Callithrix jacchus: one gene and its partners. The protein of the gene in region 1 interacts with the protein of each later gene in a pairwise test. Links are inferred from orthologs where the notes say so. Each region holds a gene or a part of one and is shown on either strand. Other genes may lie near its edges.

Region 1 (3,953 bases):
TTGCTTGCTCACCTGGGGCTTTGTGGGATGCTGAGTTGGTTCTGCACAGCAAGGGCCACACTGTCACCCTTCTGGAACACCATGTCATAAGGGCCTTCCCCAAACATCATGGCATATAGCACGCAGCCTAGGGACTGAGTATAACTTGGTTAGTACCTAGAAGGGGACCAATGGAGGTGACATCTCTCTCCTTCTGTGGTAAAAGGACACTATATAAGCTAAAAATATGCTGACCTCAGCCACATGGTACCGCCAGGGCCCAGAGAAACTGCCAGTCAGCCAGAGGCCTCTGTAGCCGCTGCTTAGCCAGTGCCTTCAGTACTGACACTGAGCTGTATTCACCCTGTTCAGGGGCAGGGATTATACCACATCCGGTGCAATTGGGTACAGTATCAGTAACAGTTCCCAGGAAGGAAGTTGAAGTGGATGGGGACATATTGTGGCTCCTGGGGCCCCATGCAACAGAAACCAACAACCTACTCTACTCCACAGTGGGTACAGAGCCACAGCCCTCCCTACCCAGATGCCCTCCTACATGCTCCTCACCCAGACATCAGTCCGCTCATCGATGACACAGTGACTCTGCACAGAGAAGAGTTCTGGGGCTCGGTAGGAGATGGTGCACCGCTGGGCTGCCCAGTCCTGGAACAGTGGTCCCAGAGCTCAAAAGTGGAGCACAGGGCATGGTCATGTGACCAAACCGGGGCATGCACCAGAAGGGGCGGAATGGGGAACTGGTGAGAAAAGGAGCATGGAGACTCTTTTACCTGCAGGGTCAGGGCCTGGCGGGAGCCCTCCACGTGGATGCATGCTTGATTCATGGAACCCAAGTCCATTAAAACTGGCTGCCCTTCGTCTCCAAGCAATATATTGGTGGGCTTCAGGTCTCTGTAGGGAAGTAGAAATGACCTGGACATCTCTGGACAGGAAGCCTGGAATCCCGGTGAGCAAAAGAGTCATGCAGGCTGTTTCTTGAGAGAACAGAGACCTCCCATTTCTCTTAGTGAGGCTCTTCCTCTGGGCCCCAGCAAGCACACAGGGTCCTCCCACTGACCTGTGGGCATAACCCTTGGCATGAATGGCCTCAAGCCCTCTGCAGATCCCCAGCAGCAGCCGAAGGATTTGATCCTCGGTCAGGAAATTGCCTTTGTCCTTCAGCCTTTCTATCTCATTCCACAGCGTACCTCTCTGCAACACAAGTTTCCCTAAAGTTGGAGATGTTTTTGGAGCCTCTGCTCCCTAGGCCTGATCCCTTCCATGTGTCAAAGCCTATCAGGCCTTTCATGACACACACCTCAAACCCCAAATCCAAAGCGGCCACCCAGGACGTGGTCCCTGCTTCCTAACATCTGGACTGCTCACACAGCCCTTGGGTACGTGGCTCTGTTGCAACCCCCTCCATAACCAAGAGTCTTTCTGACCTTGAAGAATGGTAGCAGCAGCCAAGCCTCATGCTTAGCACCCCGCTCCCTCAGACAGTAAGCCACGAGGTGAAGGATGTTGGGGTGATTGAAGAGGTGATGCATGTCGGCCTCTCGCTGGGCCTCCTCCCGGTCCTGCTGCTCATGACACAGGATTCGCTTCAGGGCGTAGAAGTGTCCATCATGTAACCCTTCCACTAGGTCCACATAGCTGAACCCACTGTGGGCCAAAGGGGTCAATGAAGGGCCATGGTCATCTCCAACATGGCTTGGACCTAGAGAAATTTCCTGGTGGGGAGTGGGGTGTTCTTCCCATTTAGCAGAAACCCTCCCAAGATGTGGCTCTAAGTGAAATCTGAAGAATATTATACTGTGAGCTCCTCAGGAGCAGAGATATAGAAATCTTTGAGGTCCTATGGTCATAATAGAGATCTCTGCACCTGACAGAAGTAAATAATAGCCAACACTTATCAAGTACTTAGGAACCAAGCACTGGGTGAGACATTTTATAATATTATCTCATTTAATCCTCACAACTCCATCAGTGAGGCATGATAATCATCTCCATTAAGCAGATGGAAAAAAACATGGTTTATCAAAGTCACACAAAGTGGATTTAGCAGGCCTGGCTCCAGGATCCACCTTCTCGATACCGTGTAGCTAAGAGCTGTCAGGTGAGAGAGGACAGGGATAGGGATAAAACCCTTGTGCCCCAAACATGTGCAGACCGCTGTCCTTCAATGACCATAACCTTCAGGACTAGTTAATTGACTTCCAAACACTCACCCCTCCCCCAGTTTCTGGATGAAGAGGTAGCGCTTATTGTCAATGATGACAGTTCCCCGAGAGCAGACACACAGTGCGTGGCCCATAATGTCTCAGTCATCCTCTTCAAGGACGATCTGAGGCTACCGAAGAGCTCGTCCAAGATGAGTGGGCTCTTCCAGGAGATGCGCTGGGAGCCCAGCGGATCATGCTGGAAAGAAAACAACGGCAGGGTCGCAGGTCCGGCACAATCCAGAAGATTCCTGAAGTCCCAATGCGGAGAGCTCAGGCCCAGGTCTCTGGGACCTACACTACTCTACTGTCTAGGGAAAACAGGCCCTGCTCCGTCGCCAGCTCCAAGGGTGGGGTCAGGGGCCTTACGGCCTCAGGACAGACACACAGCGGCTACCCAGCCACTTCCTCCAACCCCAGCCCACCTTTGGGCAGCCCCACTCCCATGCCCGTCGCGCCGCAAAGGCAGAGCACAGGGTAGTTCAAAAGACGTGCGAGGCTCAAGCCCATTCCTGGCAGGGCCCACCCCTGGCTTCGGAGCCCAGAGCCCGGGGTGGGCCAGCCCGCACTCCCCGACTGACCTGGCTCGGCCAGAGCGCAGCGCCACGGACCGGAAGCAGCGCTGACATCATCAGTCCGCACCGGCGCAACGGCCGGCGATATCTTAGCAACCGCTAGGCAGTCGGAGGATGTGAGGGCGGCGAGCTGAGAGGCCCGGAGCGGGCTAGGCCTGGCGGGGGACGGGTCGCAGGACTCTTGTGAGGGTTCTCTACTTGGCCTTCAGTAGGGGTCAAGACGCAGACACCTGCGCCAAAGGGGAACAAAGCCGGGCTTGGCCCGAGGCCCCCAGGATCTCCATCTCCTAATGTTGGAGGTAGGAGGCTTCATACCTCCGGCACTCCGGGGCAGAACGCCGCCGACTACACTGCAGCCTGGAGGGGGATCCAGGGAGGGGCGGGTCTGGTGGTCTGGATTGCTGATCCCGTACAACTTCCGGGCTCTGGGCTGTATCGCACTACCCTTAGTCTCAGTGATTCAGAGCTCAGGCTTGTGAACCAGACTTTCAGTTTCTAAATTGAATGTTAATAGCATACTAGCTGTGTAAACTCGCGCAAGTTTCTTAACTTCTTGGATCATTAATTTTGGTACCTGAAAAAAGGTATTAGTACCTAAGGTTAAGTAGCTTAACCGTGAGGCGGGACTGACTAGTTGAAATGCCAGCTCTATTAACATAGTTGCCTGACCTTGGACAGGCTACTTAATGTTTCCGTCCTTTCCTCTCCTCCTCTGTGAAATGGAAATGATATTATCTACCTCGTGGACTTGTTTGAAGATTAGATGAGATATACAGTGTTTAATACAATATCTGACACATAGCCTTCAGTACGTGTCAACAGTAATTATTATTACCCTGATCTTCACATCCCATGCTTGAAACTGTAAAAGCAAAAGGAACGGAAATTCACAAATTTCCAAGCCTTGGCACAAAGCAATTGTCCTTGACATCTGTTGCCGAGGCAGGCAGGGGTAAGCTGGAGAAGGGTGCACTTCCAATGAAGGTGGAATGGCCAGGAGGGAATGGCTGTTTTGCTGAAACAGGGGTCTCAGGAAAAAGGTCCTTCTATGACCTGGTTGCCCCCTTCCACACCCCGGATCACGCTGAAGATTTTCCAGTGGTTTCCCTTGGTTCTGAACATGTTTTAGCTCTTTGGTTCTGACATTCATTCATCTAGATTTAACCTGCTGTGTGCCGGG
Region 2 (4,199 bases), on another chromosome or scaffold:
ATTCAATCACCAAACTCCTGGTTACCAAGCTTATCCATACATTCATGTCACTCACAGTCCCCAGAAGGCAGGTAGCAGAGAGACGAACTTGGATGAATCAGACAAGCTCTGTACAAGGCTCCTTCTTTGCCTTTTGGAAGAGACCAGTAATTGCAAGGGCCTGCCAAGCCTAAAGCTCTTCAACCACGTAATCGCTGAGGCCTTGGAATCAAATGACTGGCCTAGGAATCAGTGCCCTTGCCAAAGCCAACCAGAGGTGACCAAAGACTGCCTATGATGCAGCCCAACAGCAGAAGACTACCAACCAGGCCCTGCTGGAGGAGTGGCCCCATTCTAATGGGCAATATTAAACCACATGTATGTGCAACATCAGAACTTCACTCAGCTTGTCGAATGGAGTAACTTTGGAAATACATACTACTGCTAACCAACTAGAATCATTGTCCATCAGCTTCCTCAACCAAGCCAGTCAAAAAACAAAGCCCAAGCTCCAAAGAGAACAAAGGGATGAGGCTACAGATGTTCAGAAGAAAGTAGATCTGCAAAGCGACCCATCCTAGATGGCTACACCCCCAGAAACAGACAGAGCTGGGTCCAGGGTGGCTATACAAACGATTCACCTGAGAACTCTCAGTCTTCCATCCACCCAGACATGGAAGTTGTTACCATATTGGAACAACAATGGACTAGGGAACAGGAAGTGCTACTCCCCAGAAATTCTATACAAAGAGCCTCCAATAACCCCAATACTTTCATATTTGTGTCCACACTGCACACAACTGAACAAACATTTACTGGGCAGTCCCCACTGTGACCAATGCTAAATGAAGGTTAACTACCCTCCAGGAGCTTACCCTTTAAGGCGCTGGAAGAAATGAACACACAGATGATGAGAACATAAAATACAACATAAAGCATGCAAGTGGCATGAAGTGCTACAGAATCACAGAGAAGAAATCTCCCTCTCCTTAGAATGCTAAGGCAAAACTGAAAGGAGGAAATGGCCTTTAAGCCAAACCCTGAAAGGCATACATGATTTTAACAGGTGCCCCCGAAAGGCCAATGTAGATCTCCCCAAAATCACCTGCTAACTTCATGAAATGATGCGGTCAGAATCCAGTGTTTTGGGGCTCTAGCCTAAGGTTAGGGCTTGCAGATTTTTATTTAACCAAATACATAACTATAATACAAGTGTCAGGGAGATGTGCCACCAAATATTAATGTAAATTCGTTAACAGGAAAACTTGGATATTGGGCTTTTCTAATTGTATTCTCATGTGGATTTCATTTGTCCGTTAGCTATTCACTTTATGCAGATATTTTGAATTTTCAGCTAATTGTCTCAACTTTACAACTGAGGCACTGAATCCCAAAGGTAGGGTCAAATTAATACATTTTACATTATCTCTGTTAATCCCCATAGAAAATCCTATTGCCAACCAGACTTGCAACAAGCTACACCAGAACAGGGCAGGAGTGGAAACGGTAGAAGGGCACACTGGTACATCCCTTCTACAGAACTGGCTGAGCCACAGGTTACCACACTGGCCACTCCCACTCAAACAGGCTGTGGTGAAGCTCATACAACATCATCTAAGCAAATTAATTATGTAGAGCAAAGCATTAACAGATGTAAAGAACTATCATCAGAAAAGAAAGGGGAAATCTAATACCACTTTCTAATAAGTAGAAATGGGAGATAAAAAGACAGTAAGACCAAGGAAACTACACCACAGGGCAGACATACTCCACTAGGTTTCCTTATTATAATTAACATAACTAACTTGATTGGTGACAGCAAAACCACTTGGATTATAAAAACTCCACTAATAGCACCATATCCACCATTTAACAAACAAGTAGGGGCCACGGCCTGAATAAATAACAGCTAAACATCTCCGCAGCCCGGCTTTAAAAAAAAAACAAAAACAAAACAGCATCCTCCAGACTTAGTCCACCCCGCCCTATGGAAAGAAAAAGGTATGAAGCCCCGGGTCTTCCCTTCCCTCCAGGAGTACAGTCAGGGGCCGGTGCGCACCAAGCCAAGAGCCTCCTTCAACTCAAATTTCAAAGTACTAGCAAACCAACTCTCCGCTGGCTTCCGGGTCCGTAAAGAGAAATGAAAACCGCTCCGCAGCCCCAAAGCCCACCATATTCCTTTTGTTGATACGGAGGCCACAAGGCAAGTGCCTCTAGCCCCCACTACAAGCATCAGACGCCACCAGGCTCCCCTGTGAAAACTGCTCCAGCTGGACAAGGAATCTTTAGAAAGCTCAAGTATAAGAAGATTCGCCCCTAACCGATTCTACTTCTAAAAGGTCTTTAAGGAGCAGGGAAGAGGGGTCTAAACTCCGGTAAAGTGCACACCCTCTACCCTCTCACTTAGCACCCGCCCTGCCAGGAGCTAGGCGCGCCCCGGCAGTACCCAGAAGGCGCAACAGGAGCCCAACACGCCGAGAACATGTGCCCCACGCCCCGAGGAGCTCACCCTCACGTGGTTCTCCACAGCCGCGCGACCCGCCAGCTTCTTGGCCTCCTCGGCCTTGGACATCGTTGAGGGGGCCGGGCGGACGCTGTTAGAGTCCCCGCAGCTGGTGCTTGTGTTGCCAGCACCGCCGCGGGTCCCGGACTGTGCACGCCCCGGCAGCCGCACGTGGGAACCCGGGAGGTCCCAGCTGTTCCCTCCTCCGCCTGAGACCGCGCCCCCGGCCCTCCCGGGCAGCGGGGCCAAGACCCGCCCGTAGAGGGTGCTGAAGGGCCCGGGGCGCTGCATCCCGACGCCTCGCTCAGGCCTCCGCTGAGGTCCCGCCCCTGGCTCGTCCGGAAGTCTGGTCACTTACGTACACGGTTTGTGTGCCCTGCTCCGTGGGCCTTGCTGGGAAATGTAGTTCTATCGCTTCAGCGACCCGCATCTGCGCCTCAGTCTGGACTACCAATCCCATAATGCTCTCCGTGACCGGATGCGCAATTGCAGGCGACGGCCTCTGGCGCGTCGCTCTATAAAGTACGCTTAGACGCGGGAAGATCCGTTTATGGCTCCTTACTCGAGGGACGTGTGCTTATGTCACCGTTAGGGATGTTTTTCATCTGGGAAAGGACTGTTAGACTTGACCCTGTTGTTTCTCCCAGCAGTGAGAATGTGGCCATGGACTAGACCTCAGAGTAGTGACTCTTCCGTAGACGACACGGCCCTTTGGAGGTGACTACTCCCTAGGAAACTCACATGCGACACCGGCGCCAGCTGGTTTATCTAGACCAGCACAGGCCCAAGGTCACAAGTTGAGAAGTACTTCTTGCTGTAGACAGTCTTCTGCACCTGGTAGCTGCACCTTGCTCCACCCATTACAAGGACTTTCTATGAAAACAGATTTCTCTTTATTCTCTACCTTTGAAGGTTTCTTGCTGTTGAGAATAATTAAGGGATGAGGAATTCTTAACTGCCCCCATTTTACAGAAGAAGAAACTAATGCTGACCCCAACCTTACCGACCACCTGGAGGCCCATACAAACACGTGACCTTTGTGTTTCTCAGCTATTAGTGGAATCCTTTCTGTCTGTTCATGAACTCATCTTCAAATGCATTCCAGGCCTTCAGAACTCACGTGTGCAAGTCCCTGGTATGGGCCACTGCTACTGCCACTTATCACCTAGATTTTCTAACTATGCTGTGCCCCCTGAGGCCGGGAGCTCCTGAGTCTTCACCTTTGTCTGTAGGAGGAAAAGCTGTTTGAGATAACATTTGAATATTTGAATCTCAGCACTTTGGGAGGCCATAGCAGGTGGATCACCTGAGGTCAGGAGTTTGAGACCAGCCTGGCCAACATGGTGAAACCCCATCTCTACTAAAAATATGAAATTAGCTGGGTGTGGTGGCACATGCCTGTAGGGCCAGCTACTCAGGAGGCTGAGACGGGAAAGTTGCTTGAACTGGGAGGTGGAGGCTGCAGTGAGCTGAGATCACACCACTGCACTTCAGCCTGGGTGAGACACAGTGAGACTTCATCCCCCCCCAAAAAAGTGGATACTGTTATTCCCATTGGCATAAAAGAAGTCCTCACTTAATCAAGGTCACACTGCTTATAAGCAAAGCTGGGATACAAACCTTCGGTGATTCTAGGACCAAACCCTGATCTAATAGAATCACCTAGATGGGGATTTATTAATTACCCCACCACATCACCAATATAGCACGAACTTTG
Region 3 (2,801 bases), on another chromosome or scaffold:
TCCCTTATTACACATGTGTAGATAATTGGATCATATTGAATTCTCATCAATAAGATACAGACATTTGATCGTGATTGCCAACAAATACTGGGTGACTTTAAAAAAGTTACTTGAAATCATTTTGATTTGTCTTCAATTCAATTTTGCTTGTATGTATGTCTATAACCATATAGATCTAAGTTTTATTTTTGTTCCCTGAAGATTCCTGATATAACTGTCAGCTAGTTTTCTACCTTATTCTTATTGGCCTTGTCACAAGAATCAACATTTCATAAGGGAACCAAGCTAATTCCCGAGTCTGAGATTTTAATGAACAAAAGCCTGTGTATTTAGTAGACATCTACTACCTGTAGTCTGAGTAACAAAAATCTCTGAACCCCCAAAAGTTTGTTTGAATCCCAAACTTCATATGGTTTTCAAACCTATTCCTATATATATACCAGTTGTTTCATAATAATCCCCTAAATATGTCACAACCAAAACTTGGCAATAAAAAACCACCACAAACATAGCTGAATATCAGACCAGTAGATTTATTTCGTTAAAATGATTTGACTTTTTCCACAATTGTGGAAAAAATAAAATAATATAAATTCTAACTTTAATGTGTACTTCAAGATTATTTTGGGTTAGTACACAGGTTTTCAGATGAAGCCTGCCAGTCAGTATCTGGGGCCAAAGACAAATTGAGAACTTGATAATTAGAGAATAAGAGGCTAATTCTTTCTGTACAAGATGAAGACAATAAAGGTTATGAGTAGAGACATTAATGGCATCGGCCAATAAAATTAGCAGTTTAACAAGATGATCAATAATAGAAGCCTGATCCACAAGTTGGTCTGTAACAAGAAGACTGGCAGCTCCTAGAAGCCAAGTAGGTTGGGCGGCAGAATCCAGATCCATAGCCCAGGGAAGGGAAGCCGCAGCCTCCATAACCCAGGGATCTGAAGCCACTGGATCCGCAGCCCACTGAGTAGCAGCTCCTAGATCCATAGCCCAGGGGGCGGCAGCTGCTGGAGCCAAAGCCTAGAGGCCCAGAGTAAGTCGTCTGGCAGGGATTGAAGAGCACAGAGGTTCTCGGGCGGTAGCAGGAGGTCTGGCAGGGGCTGGACTCCACACAGGATGTCTGGTAGCTGGTGGGCTCGCAGCAGGGCTCCTGACAGCCCCCGTAGAGAGAGGAACCCAGCTGGCAGGTGCTGGGAGAGCAGAGGTCAGTGCTGTAGACCAGGTTGCTGGGGTAGGAAGAGCCACAGGAGGAGCCTGGGTAGCGCATGTAGCCCCCACAGGAGCGGGAGGAGAAGTTTCCAGAGCAGCAGTTGTAGGACATGTTGACGGGAGATGTGAGTTCAGCTGAGTTACACTGAGAAGATCTGAGTTTGGATGCCACTCCTGGAAGGGACCATTTATATACTTTCAACTGTGGGTGTGGCACCTGACAGGGTCATCCTTCACGTGTTTGAGCTCCCACATTTGCATATAAGTAACTTAGTAATCTTTGTAATTGCAGTTAACACGCTTCATCTTATATTTATGGAAGAACTCATTTTGTTTTTACAGCTCTGCGTCAATGAAATACATTTATGTTACAAATGCTATGACTGTATGTGATTAATGTCCACTCCATTATGGCCAGGAAGACCCCTCTTATTTTCTCTGGCCATGATTTACACACTTGCTCCTGTTTTGGCTGGGAAATTCTTTCTGTCTTGGATGGGGATGGCAATGTACTCATATTTTTTGTCAGTGGCCTAGCAGCAGAAATTTTATTGGTTCACACTCTCCAAAATAGTTTGCCGTCTATTATTTACTATAAGCAATGTTTATCATTGCTGTCTCAAGGACTATGTAAAAGTAATCCAGAGGGATTGAGAGATAACTAAAACCAGATATCATCTTGAACACGTTTAGAAAAAAAAATTAGTGTTTAGAAAAAAGAAATCAAAACAAAAGCCAAAAAAAATGAAAAACATCAATATGGACAAATGTGGAAAAAGCAAACCTCACCTCACTGCTAAGATAAGGTAGGAAATAAAGCACAGTAGCAGAAGGATGATCAGGACTGCCAGGGTTCCAGCTAACTGATGGGTAGTCCATCCTGAAAGCAAATCAAAATGCTTTCAAATAGACGTATTTAATAGCTTTTGTATGATGCATTCATATTTGTAAGTGTCCTGGAGCCTGCATGCTTATAACACCTCAAAACCCCCACCTCAGTATTCTGAATGCTTTCTGAGTATTTCCAGAATAATGCCACCAGCTTTTATGTTTTTCCCTCTTCTTGTGGGACGTGACTCTGTCCCAGCCCTCTTTAAAGAGATGGATTTAGGTTGTGTGGGTGTGGAAAAATATAATTTGGGGATCCTCATTAAAAATACCATATTATGAATATAATAATAGATATAAACACAGATATTAATATAGAATAAACACTTCCAAAGTTAACAAAACTCAAGACATCACAAAATCAAGACAATAATATACCATTATCATCATCATCTATAACCTTTTCCTATATTTTTTGGCTGCATCCTCTTGGATCATCTCCACATAGGACAATGATTTTTTCAACATGATTTTCTGCAGAACAAATGGAAGTAAAATTCAGTGTGTTTTAGAAATAGTATATCAAAACTACTTGAATTACTTTTTAATGACACAGAAAAGTGTTTTTTTTTTACATTGCCATTTCTTGTGAGCAGTGCCACAGCTGTAACATCTTCTGTCATTTCTTTTCAGCAGTGCTTCAAGCCTGAGATTGTGCGCCTCTCATCCAGATGTCCCTGGTTTACCTCCCACCTGTG
Region 4 (4,038 bases), on another chromosome or scaffold:
CTGCTCTGGTGCCCTCGACCCCCTCCACTTTCTCCCATCTCCAGGGAGAGAGACTCCACAGGTGGGCCAGGCGTCTCTGCTTGTCAGCTGCAGGCTCCAACCTCAGCTTATCCTCTGCTGCCAGCCGAACCTCCCCCTTTTCCTTACCTAGTGCATTGTGGTCCCTCCTCCTGGAACACCCTCCCCAGAGCCCAGGATTGCTGTCCCTAAATCTCACCCTCGTAGCATGCAGTCGGCAAAGTTGGCATTTAACAAATGTTTGATGGATGAATTAATGGATTAAAGAGTAAATGAATGAATAAATGGGAAGATTCATCTCAAACGACCCCTCTTCCAAGAAGCCATTCCCAGGCACCAAAATCCGACATGCACACTCCCTCACCAGAACTCTCCTGCCAGCCAGCCATGCCCTACAGGACCATGGATGATGCCCTCACTATACCCAACTGTCTTCAAGCCAGGCGACCCCCTGAGCTTAGGGGCTGATCAGTTTTGGATCCTGTGCACTATTATGCACTGAAGTCTCCAGGAAATGCTGTTGACATTAAGTGGAGTCAAGCGTACCTTGGGCCTGTTTCTCCACCTGTCAAATGGGTGACTACTCGCTCTACCAGCTGCTATCTGCGCTGGCCGTGAAGCCTACCAGACACACTCTCTCGTCACAGAGCATGGCCATAGGGGAGAAGCCTCCTATATTTTGGATAAGGACTAGACCCTCTCACCTGGGTCCTGGGTTGGAGCCAAGCCCCTCCTGGGCAGGGTGGATGCTGGATGGGCTTGAGGATGGGCACACAGAAGACATTTGTGTTCCCTGGTTACCTGGGGCCTTCCGCAAAATCTGGTGAGAACAAGGTTGGGAACTGAAGGGGCTCAGGGGTCACTAACCCACAGGGCAAAAGAAACCCCACTTAGTTGGCTACCTGATTTGTGTGGCCTTTGCCCATTTTCTGTCTGTCCCTTCAAACTGGGACTCCTGTGTCCATTCTCAGACTGCATGTTCCCCAGACTGAAGGTGGCAGCCTTGGGAGCTCCTCTGCTGCTCTGCTCAGCTCAGGAGAGGCGCTAGCCTGGCTTATCAGGGAGGTTGGGTCTTGTGCCCAGTGAGCCCAAATCTGAACGAGGACATGGGAAGCACCCACCTGCAGCTTGGGGAGCTGGGGCTCTGGGCATGGTGACATCCGTTCTGGCTGGCCAGCCCCCAGAGTGCTGTCTGAGATTGGGGGCTGAAGGTCCCGGTGCACGTGGAAGGCCACACTGTAGGCCAGGCCCCCACAGTGGCGGGCTGTGGGGTCCGTGCTGGCCCGGAGCAGCGCCAGGTTGCCACAGTAGCGGTACAGGTCCTCATGGTCCCGAGCCTCCGGGTTCATGCGGGGTTGGTCCGGCCTCGGGTAGATGGGGAAGATGGCCTCACCCACCCGCTGGGTCGTCCATCCTGAGGGTTCGTCCAGCCTCAGCGCCTCCACGCGCAGCTGAGCGTCATGCTGCCCATCATTCTTGCAGAAACCTGGATGAGGGAACACGGGGCTCAGAGATGGTCTCAGGTTTCTCTGCATCTGCTGGGGGACTAGGAGGACAGGCAGGGCCCTGGGGAAACCTGGGCTGCCCAGCCTTCGAGTGGAAGCCAAGCAGTCTTGGCTAAGATTTCCCTGGTGGGCGACTCCCTCCTAGGCCCCCAGCATTTGCAGAGAAACCCTCCCTGGACTCCCTCCCTTTGCTGATACCCAATCCAAGCCCACCCAGCAGAGGTGAGGAAGGGAGGGCTTAGCCTGTGGGATGATCCCAGGTCCTGCTACCAACCTCGACTCTTAGACTTGGGAAGAGTTCAGCCTGCCCCTGATTTATGGCCACTTAAAGTCTGTGACCTGGTTTCCCCATTCCCCCACATCCCTCCTCCTCCAGGCAGCCTGCTGGGGTGACCTCACAGTCTAGGTATAGATCTCCTTCTCATTCCAGCTCACGTTACTTCTCTCTGCTTGAAGTTCCTGTCCCTTCACCTGCTTTGGAAGTTCCAGAAGGCAGGGCCCAGGTGTCCTGGGCCCTGGGTCCCCTCATTTCTGTCCACACCCCCATGCCCACAATCAAGTGGGGATCAGGGCCAGGCACTCAAGGGGCTGAGTCTAACGTTACTCAGTGTGATGTCCACTGCCGAGGACTGGCCCCCAAACCCACCGTATGATCAGAGCTCTTATATTTACAAAGCCATCTCTCATCTGCGCTTCTATTTCCTTCTCACCTGACCTTGCGTGATGGACATCAGCGTCCAGTTCCCAGGCCACACTGAAGGAGGCAGGGGTCACAGAGGCCCAGAATTTGCCCAAGGTCACACCAGCAGAGCTTTGGCATGCAGTCTGGAGCCCCACCCCTCCCAGTTCTCCTCAGGCTCTCTGGGGTCCCAGAGTGGGGCTGAGGCAGGGGTTCCAGGGTCTTTCTCTCCCCCAAGCCCCACCCCCACTTCATACCTTTGGGCAAAGTAAAGATAAACTTGTTCCTGGTGAGGGTGAGACTGTGGCCAGGTTCCTGCTGCTCAATGACATCAGTGACAACAGAGCAGGCATGGAGGGGATCCCCATCATTCACTTGCAACTGCACCCCAGCCCCAGAGCCCGCCTGCAAGGGGTTCTCAGCTGACAGTCTCAGGGCATATCTACCCCCCTCATTAAACCCCACGCTCAAAACTTCGAACTCTAGATCCAGGGTCTTCTCCTCTGCCTTCAGTCTCCGGCTCAGCAGGGATGTAGAGACCCAGGGTTCAGGCCCTCTGAATGCCATGGCCACGGGGGGATCGACTGCCAGGCTGAGCACTGCGCCCTCTCACCCACGGCCCAGCCTGAACCCAATCTGAAAGCCTGCAGGCTGCGTGCTCAGGGCCACTCCCCACCCACCTCTGTTTGTTTGAGGAGAAACCAGGTAACAAGGCAGGAACCTGGGCCTGACCCAGGAAACTTTTGTTCCATCAATCCCTTCCCTTTAGCATTTGTTCCTTCAACAAATATTTCTTGAGCACCTACTGCGTGCCAGACACTATTTTAGGCGTTTGGAATCCAGCAGTGAACCAAACAGTAACTCCAGCCCTCTGAAGTTTATCTTCTAGTGGGAGAGGTGTGTAGAGACAGACAAAAATAAACACTAAACATAGAACATAAGTAAATTATAATGTATGCTAGAAGATGCTAATTTTTTTTTTTTTTTTTTTTTTGAGATGGAGTGTTGCTTTCATCTCTCAGGCAGGCTGGAGTGCAATGGCGGTGATCTCGCCTCACTGCAACCTCCACCTCCTGGTTCAAGCGATTCTCCTGCCTCAGCCTCCTGAGTAGCTGGGATTACAGGCGTTTACCACCATACCCAGTTAATTTTTTTTTGTATTTTTAGTAGAAACAGCGTTTTGCCATGTTGGCCAGGCTAGTCTCGAATGCCTGACCTCAGGTGAGCTGCCCACCTCAGCCTTGCAAAGTGCTGGGATTATAGGCATTGGCTACTATACCTGGCACAAAGATGCTAAATTCTATGGAAAAATTGAAAGCAGGTCGAGGATGAAGATTCTGGTATGGGGAGCATGTGGATATGTGATATCCAGAACTTCCCATTCGGGGAGAGCCTATCTCTATGTGCCTATTCATTCCCATTGACTTGAGGTGCAGGGAGTCTCAAGGGAAGGGAGACCGTGTCTATTTTCAGGGAACAAGCCCTTAGTTTACTTTCCTCTTCTTTTCTTTTTTTTTTTTTCGAGGCAGAGTCTCGCTCTGTCGCCCAGGCTGGAGTGCAATGGCAGGATCTCAGTTACTGCAACCTCACCTCCTAGGTTCAAGCCATTCTGCGTCAGCCTCCCAAGTAGCTAAGACTACAGGCATGTGCCACCACACCCAGCTAATTTTTGTATTTTTAGTAGAGACAGGATTTCACCATGTTGGCCAGGATGGTCTCAAACTCCTGACTTCAAGTGATCTACCCACCTTGGTCTCCCAAAGTGCTAGGATTACAGGCATGAACCACCACACCTGGCCTTGTTTACCTTCTTAATTAAGACTTACAATGGGAGGC

The links.
Region 2: the proteins of STK16 (region 1) and RPIA interact in binary tests that used the Homo sapiens proteins (3 or more experiments, as listed by UniProt). The two-hybrid records come from large-scale screens. The link is inferred for Callithrix jacchus from reciprocal best matches to the Homo sapiens genes STK16 and RPIA.
Region 3: the proteins of STK16 (region 1) and KRTAP13-1 interact in a two-hybrid assay, tested with the Homo sapiens proteins (2 studies listed by BioGRID). The two-hybrid records come from large-scale screens. The link is inferred for Callithrix jacchus from reciprocal best matches to the Homo sapiens genes STK16 and KRTAP13-1.
Region 4: the proteins of STK16 (region 1) and CCDC33 interact in a two-hybrid assay, tested with the Homo sapiens proteins (2 studies listed by BioGRID and IntAct). The two-hybrid records come from large-scale screens. The link is inferred for Callithrix jacchus from reciprocal best matches to the Homo sapiens genes STK16 and CCDC33.

The regions. Positions count from the first base shown.
Region 1 is NC_133507.1:140,988,150-140,992,102, reverse strand, and holds the start of STK16 (serine/threonine-protein kinase 16), read right to left. Parts: upstream 2,806-3,953; 5' UTR 2,624-2,805; exon of another isoform or gene 2,398-2,623; 5' UTR 2,294-2,397; coding exon 2,208-2,293; intron 1,642-2,207; coding exon 1,422-1,641; intron 1,189-1,421; coding exon 1,055-1,188; intron 933-1,054; coding exon of another isoform or gene 889-932; coding exon 768-888; intron 663-767; coding exon of another isoform or gene 643-662; coding exon 547-642; intron 135-546; coding exon 13-134; intron 1-12. UniProt on the Homo sapiens protein: Membrane-associated protein kinase that phosphorylates on serine and threonine residues. In vitro substrates include DRG1, ENO1 and EIF4EBP1. Also autophosphorylates. May be involved in secretory vesicle trafficking or intracellular signaling.
Region 2 is NC_133515.1:25,431,906-25,436,104, forward strand, and holds the start of RPIA (ribose-5-phosphate isomerase), read right to left. Parts: upstream 2,814-4,199; 5' UTR 2,774-2,813; coding exon 2,489-2,773; intron 1-2,488. UniProt on the Homo sapiens protein: Catalyzes the reversible conversion of ribose-5-phosphate to ribulose 5-phosphate and participates in the first step of the non-oxidative branch of the pentose phosphate pathway.
Region 3 is NC_133522.1:36,448,771-36,451,571, reverse strand, and holds KRTAP13-1 (keratin-associated protein 13-1), read right to left. Parts: upstream 1,379-2,801; 5' UTR 1,328-1,378; coding exon 809-1,327; 3' UTR 514-808; downstream 1-513. UniProt on the Homo sapiens protein: In the hair cortex, hair keratin intermediate filaments are embedded in an interfilamentous matrix, consisting of hair keratin-associated proteins (KRTAP), which are essential for the formation of a rigid and resistant hair shaft through their extensive disulfide bond cross-linking with abundant cysteine residues of hair keratins.
Region 4 is NC_133509.1:21,056,817-21,060,854, reverse strand, and holds the start of CCDC33 (coiled-coil domain-containing protein 33), read right to left. Parts: upstream 2,814-4,038; 5' UTR 2,770-2,813; coding exon 2,460-2,769; intron 1,505-2,459; coding exon 1,169-1,504; intron 1-1,168.